Linked DNA regions of Ovis aries. The protein of the gene in region 1 purifies or fractionates together with the protein of each later gene. This does not show direct contact. Links are inferred from orthologs where the notes say so. Each region holds a gene or a part of one and is shown on either strand. Other genes may lie near its edges.

Evidence for each region. Proteins that work in one complex are often made in the same cells at the same time.
Region 2: the proteins of YWHAE (region 1) and PRKCI purify together in Homo sapiens (affinity purification with mass spectrometry; 4 studies listed by BioGRID and IntAct, with this or other methods). This does not show direct contact. The link is inferred for Ovis aries from reciprocal best matches to the Homo sapiens genes YWHAE and PRKCI.

The regions. Positions count from the first base shown.
Region 1 is NC_056064.1:22,410,861-22,414,512, reverse strand, and holds part of YWHAE (14-3-3 protein epsilon), read left to right. Parts: intron 1-1,395; coding exon 1,396-1,621; 3' UTR 1,622-3,652. UniProt on the Homo sapiens protein: Adapter protein implicated in the regulation of a large spectrum of both general and specialized signaling pathways. Binds to a large number of partners, usually by recognition of a phosphoserine or phosphothreonine motif.
Region 2 is NC_056054.1:217,782,991-217,786,642, reverse strand, and holds part of PRKCI (protein kinase C iota type), read left to right. Parts: intron 1-697; coding exon 698-823; intron 824-2,187; coding exon 2,188-2,267; intron 2,268-3,652.

The DNA of each region.
Region 1 (3,652 bases):
AATACTGGAATGGGTTGTCATATCCTATTCCAGGGCATCTTCGCAACCCAGGGATTGAACCCAGGTCTCCTTCTGCACTGCAGGCAGATTCTTTACCACTAAGCCACCAGGGAAGCCCGCCAGTTTCCTTTGTCCATGGGATTCTCCAGGCAAGAGTCCTGGAGTGGGTAGACATTAAATACACCCGCAATATCGTCTGTTGCATCTATTTCTAAAACTTATTTATCACCTGAAACAAATTTGCCACTAAACAATAACACTATATCCACCTCTGTCTGATTTTCTGATAATCTCTTTCTGTCTATGAATTTGCCCATTTTAGATAAATCATACAATAGGAGTACGCATTACAAAGTAACTTCGGTGTTCTTGGGTATGTAGGAATCAGATATTCCCTGAAAGAGATTTTTCAGCTGTCAGGTGGATTCTTTTGAATGAAAAATCAATATTAATTCATCTAAAAACTTTCTAGATGGCTAGTTGAGTGAGTCCAAGCAGGTAATGTATCTTAACTGAAGAAGCTATGGCTGTTCAGGGATAGTATTGGTTGACTCTTTGATTGCCATTCTCTAGTCTAGCCGTTGAACGCACAGCTTCAACCTAAGTCCTTTCCGTGCTTCTGCTTTAATGTGAAGTATGCCATTTGTGCTCTTTCTACCCATTAAGATTGTTCAAGTATGACTTCCTAATTTGCTTACCCTCTTGGGTCCCTGAAGTACTTTTCTAGGTTGGCACTTCATTTTTATGTTATAGTAGCTATTTATGTCACTCCCTCTATTTTAGGTGTTTTTAAAAAGTTCATTGTGGACTCATATGTCTCTTTGCTCTTTTTCCTACCTGTTCCCAGCATCACTTGATGTACATAGTACACAGTACTCAAAAAGTAAAGGTGAATTTTGTTTCTTAACTGTAGTAAATGGCTTATATGATCTCATTTTTGTGGGGTTTTTTTCTTTCTTGCTGTGTTAACCTTAAATTTTATTGGATTAAATAGTGAGATACTGTCCCAGAATTTTTTCTTTTTGCATTAAAACTGTATTAAATAAAGTTAAAGTGACTAGAATTTGGAAATACCTTTCACATGCATATATTTTGATGGTGGCTTGGATGGGATTGGGTCTGCTTGTCAGAAGCATAGTAATAAGTGGAACTCCAACAAGTTTCACTAGTTGCACAGTTGCTGGATTACAAAATTTAAAAAGGAGTTTCATTAGTAACACCTGTTTTCAGTGCCTAAAGCATTGCAGTGCCAAGCATTCAGTGTCTAATAGTGTCTAGTAGTGATAACTAAAGAAATGACTGAGATTTAACTATGTCATTTCTAGAATCTGTTTTTGGACTTGTTTAGTTTATTTCAGACTTTTTTTTCATGATACATTATGTGAATTCTTGTAGGTTGGCAAAAGCAGCTTTTGATGATGCAATTGCAGAACTGGACACGCTGAGTGAAGAAAGCTATAAGGACTCTACACTTATCATGCAGTTGTTACGTGATAATCTGACACTATGGACTTCAGACATGCAGGGTGATGGTAAGGAGACTGAAGTTAAAATGTGTCTCTTTCAGTTGTTGGATCTATTTACTCATAGAAAATTGGGATTTCTTTACATTATGCTATAACTTAGACTCAGCCTACCCTCCAAACTATCAAATTTTAATTATTACCTTTACAGGAAATGGTATCAAAGTACAGCCTTACATTTTGGTCTGTAAGATAATAATGTAAAAGGCCTGTTTTGTTAATAATCAAAGATTTAAAGATTTACCTGTCATAACATGGGCTAAACTTAGTTTTCTGTTCTGTCAGTTTTGAAAGATGGAGAGGAAGCAGTTCATATTACCATTCCTCAGATTCAATTTTAGGGATCTAAGGTTAATTATATTTTACTGTTGTTGTCACTGTTTTGGCTGAGTGGCAATCCTCATTTTAAAACTTAGATGGTTATAAGTAGATATTTATGGTATCTTTTCTGTGTGAAAATCTTTTATCTAAAAAAAGACTAATTTCCCTCTGTATTCTGTACAACAGATGAAACACCCTGCTCATATAGATCCTTATTTAAGAGATCTGATATAGTCTCTTTGTTTTCTAGAAGTTGCAGTTGTAAATAGTTACTAGAGCATTTTATAAAATTTAATCTTGTGGTTAGGAGTAGGGTAGGTGCTTAATGATTATTCCAGATATCTGTAAGGGACCAAATTTGTCACATTTCTTGATTTTAAAGAATATTTTATTCTACTCATTTCTAAAGAATTGTTTTTACCCATGATAGATCATTGAAAGGGTGGGGGAACTGCACGGGGAGATGGACACAAACTAGTGTGACATGATAATTATAAGAGTGTTTGTAACTGGCTCTGGTGATACAGGGAGTGGAAACAACATTTGCCATTTTTAGTTACAGATCCTTTAAAAGTGTATTACCCAAACTGAAGCATGTTTTGTATTCCTTGAGGCTAGATGTAATTTCTCTTGGTCAGACCAACATATATTGTATTTGGAAACATAACTTTTTAAAGATGTCTCTGAAAATGGATGTCAGGGAAATGTAGATTGGCACTGAAAGGACAGTCAGATTTTAGAATTATCTTATCTTACGGTCAGTGAGAGTTAGGGGGGACTGCTGCATGCAGTAGCTCTGTGAACCATTTAGAACTTGACTAGCTTTGGATTGAGATTTGTGGTGCATGTGACTTACTTGCGCACTTCACCAACAAAGCCAGATGGAGTCACAGGTTACTTTTCGTCAGCACAGCACTGCAGGCAACCACTATCTGTGGGACTCAAAACCAACTAAACCATCTCTGAACTAATGACTGGGGTTCCTTCCAGCTTTAAATTCTATTGTATTCTAACAATAACTACTAAGAAGAATGGCCAGATAGCTGTGGACTCTTCATAGTCACCCCCAGCTCAGAGAAGACTAATATCTCTCTGCCTGTTTGAGGGGATAAAAGGAAAAAGCATGTGGAGAGTTTGGTAAGCGGTATTGACCTAAAGTAAGCTATACCTCTTTGATCTCTCGGGATATTTTTTGAGGGTGAAAAATACCACCAACAACAAAGGTGATTTTGAAAAGTGGGTGGTTTTTTTGGACACATTATTTGGTACAGATGTCACCTTCTATAAAGTTGCTAGATTCCAAAAATAAAAAAAAATAGTCTGATTTTCTGTTACCACTCATAACCAAGAATCGATTAAGGTAGATTGTGATTCCATTTATACAGAATCAAAGATACTCTTTTTCTTGGTTATCAAGCATGTTTTATTAAATGGATTATTTAAAAATAAAATATCTTTAAATTTACTATGTTTTCATAGTTGGGAATGTTCTTTGTACAAAATGTTTAATTACACTTTAGGGTAGATTTCTCTTTAATCTTAAACACTTAAACTAGTGAAATTCAGTTGCATCAATTCCTTATGGTTTCATAGATTGACCAATTAATTAAATTTCATTGAGACAGATAATTTTCCTTTTAAGAGGTGTGTTACAAAATATTTGGAATTAGGAAACATAGTTTATCTTGAAAAATTCAAGTGGTCTGTTGAAATCTTAGCAAAATAAACAAGCTGTCTGAAATTACAAATTGTTGACACTAGAAAATTATTTGCCAGTTTTGCTAAAAGGTGTAAGGTATTACATGTTA
Region 2 (3,652 bases), on another chromosome or scaffold:
GTGGCAGAGTTGGGATTTAATCAACCAGGTAATTTCAGAATCATAAACTTCTGTAAGATTGTTCAGATTTCCTGGGGTATTTCCCCCAGGAATCTGAAAGATGGAGGAAAGATTCCCTGCTTTCAAAAACCAGAAGTTGTGTTTATCTTAAAAAAACATTTGCCCCTTTGGGTTCTGGCCCTTTGATTTCAGCAGTTGTAAGGGAGGATGGCTATTTCTGATAGCTGCTTATAATCTGGTTCCAAAGTCCTTTCAGGATCTTTAATCAGGTAGCAGAAGATCAAGTTTCACATCTAGCAAGGTTATTTCAAATACAATTTAATTATGTCCTCAAAACAAAGTATTAGAGGCAGGCTGTTGAGTCTATAATTACAAACATATTTGGTGGGACAAACTGTGCAGGATAATTGTATAACTTGGCATAGACATATTAGTCTCTGCAGCTTAGTGTAACCAACGGGAAGAGAAACTTGTGTTTCATTTTCTATATTTTAAAGTTATCGTTTAGTTACCTCCCTTCTTTGATAAGTGAAATGTTCTTGTAATCCTCGATGCCTGCCATGATCATTATAATGTATTTCAAGTTTACTTTTTCATTATGTCTATTTTTTTAATTATGTAATAAAATTAATCTCAAATTACTGACATTTTAGAATGTGGAATGGATAATTTATTGCTTTAAAATTTCATTTTGAAGGTTTCAGTGTCGACTGGTGGGCTCTTGGAGTACTAATGTTTGAGATGATGGCAGGAAGGTCTCCATTTGATATTGTTGGGAGCTCCGATAACCCTGATCAAAACACAGAGGATTATCTTTTTCAAGGTAATTTGCAGTATTTTACAGAGTCTCTGTGAATAACCCATCCTAAGGCATGAATGAAGACAGCTATAGTTATTACTTTCTAGTAAGAAAGAGGAAGAATAATCTGGACAGTATACCCCTGAACACATGAGGCTCTGAGTTTGTTTTTGTTGTTTTGATCTATCATTACTACTGCTTAGTTTTTGGTCCCATTTGCCAGTTGCCTGCTCATACTCAGAAACAGCAACGAGGTGACTTCAGATTGTACATCACAGAGATTGGAGGAAGGAACTGTGTGGCTGGAGAGGGCAGTCGTTTCACCTGTGCTACAATGCTGAGTGCATAAATCCAAGAGCAGTAATAGGAAAAGGCAGAGTTTAAGGAGATAAAAAGGGTCAAAAGGTGAAGGAAATACAAAGAACTGAACAGAACAGAAACAAGCAGACAAGCACAAGGACCCCAAACACACCGTCCAGAGAAGTGTAAAAATTGCCATAAAATTCTACATTTAATGACTAAGGCCATCACAGAAAATGAATAGATATTTCATGTAATAGGAAATCTAGCTTGCTGTGAAAACCTCGAAAGACTTTAAACCTCCTTAATTAGGGGTGTGCACATTAAAAATTAATGGGCTTCCATCTCATACTTACACATTTGGCAAAAATTTTAAAGTCTGACAACACCAGTACTAGTAAGGGTTAATAACAGTGCTGGTGAGGATATGAAGCAACTGGAACTCTGGTGGATGGAGTGAAAACTGACATGACAACTTTGGAAAATAATTTGGCAAAGTCTAATACAATTGAATATAGTAATGCATGCCACACATTTTACAGATACTAATCTGTTTAAGCCTTATAACCCTCCTATGAGGGCTTCCTTGGTGGCTCAGTGGTAAAGAATCTGCCTGCCGATGCAGGAGATGCAGGTTCCATCCCTGGGTCAGGAAGACCCCCTGGAGGAGGGCATGGCAACCCACTCCAGTATTCTTGCCTGAATAATCCCATGGACAGAGGAGCCTGGCTGCAGTCTATGGGGATTCAAAAGAGTCGGACACGACTTAGCAACTGAATAGAAAACAACAGCAACACCCCTATGAATCAGGTATTCTTTTTATTCCAGTTTTACAGATAAGGCAACAGACACAGTAAGGTAGTCAAAGAATAAAACCTACGCATGTAGTGATCAAAACTGTTCAGAGTAGAGGCTGTCTGAGTAGGAAGGAAAGGTCTGGGACTGGAAAGGTACACAAGATGCTTAGATAGTGTTTGTAATGTCTATTTTTTCCTGCAGGAATGCCTTAAATATCTTATAATAAAAATATAAAGATGAAACCCCTGTAAAAGTTAATTATAATAATGCTGTATATTTTATCTTCCTAGTTATTTTGGAAAAACAAATTCGCATACCGCGTTCTTTATCTGTAAAAGCTGCAAGTGTTCTGAAGAGCTTCCTCAACAAGGTATAAATTGTACATAAAATCGTTAGTGATTTCTCTCTATACAAATGGCACTGGTAAGGAGAGTTTCAGGCGACATAAAATTCCAAAACATCAAAGTGTATAATTTTTCCATTAGATCTGGAACTTGTCTCTTCACCAAAGGGTACCTTGACAGAATGAGACCCTGAGATGTGTGGTCCTTTCCATTCTGCCAGTATAGTTTACCCCTAGCTTTATATTACATATGGTATTTGTTTTGTTTATTTTTTGGCTGTGCTGGGTCTTCACTGCGGTGCATGGACTCTTGTCTGATTGTGGCACTCAGAGCTGCTCTTGTTATAGAGCATAGGCTCCAGAGTGTGTGGGCTCATACGTGTGGTGTTTTTAATGTAAACAAAAAATACCATGTGCTCAATTAGAGAAAAACGGCATCTTTGGGGATAGCCTCAATTGCACCTCCATCTCTATTTTTTCAGTTTCCTTTAGATTATTATTATAGAATGTTTTAACTTATTCAGTCCTTGGTGCAGCAGTGTTCCCTGTAAATTCTCTTATCACAACCCTATAATTAGATAATATTCAGAAAAAATAAAATGCTGAAGTGCTGTCTCTTTAAAAAATCTGAACAGCATTCTGTCATTGTTTGTTGCAGTTGATAGGCTAGAAGATTTGTTTTTTAATATCTTTATTTTATTTGCTTGCACTGGGTCTTAATTATAGCATGTAGGCTCTTAGTTCCCTGACCAGGGATTGAACCCAGGACCCCTCCATTGGGAGCACAGAGTCTTAGCCACTGGACCAGTGGGGAAGTCCCTAGAAAAGTTTTAGGATCTAAAATTACAACTCTGAATTATTCTTATTCATAACACTCTAACACCAAATATGTAGGTTTCTTTCCACACCACCAACAAGTTTTCCATCCTCTTACTTTAAAAATCTCATTTATAAATAAATGGTAGGTTAGAAAGTAGGTTGATGTGCGTTTATTTTCTGAGATAAATAAGATAATGAGTTTTAATAAAATAAGAAATTCAAGCTTGTTGTAAATGAGTTTTATGTGAGGAAGGATTCAAACTGGAAACCTTACCTTTAACGCAGTGAAAAATGAAGCTGAGAAGCGTCAGTATGCAAAGCAGAATGCCTTTTGCCACAGAGGAAAATGGGAACATGTTCTCATTCACGATAGTTGTATAATTTGCAGGCTGCTTCTCAGTCCAGTGATTCAGATAATGGTTGTATCGTTATTGTACACAAATTACGGTGGTTGCTATAACTGGACACAGGGCTTTTAAACTGAGCTAGAAACAAACTGGTGAAGTTCGGGGGTTTGTGTGTTTTGAGTATCACTCCAGCCCGTGTCAAAGAAAGAGTTGGATGCTGCCCAAATAATTCTGCTGCTGTCTGTC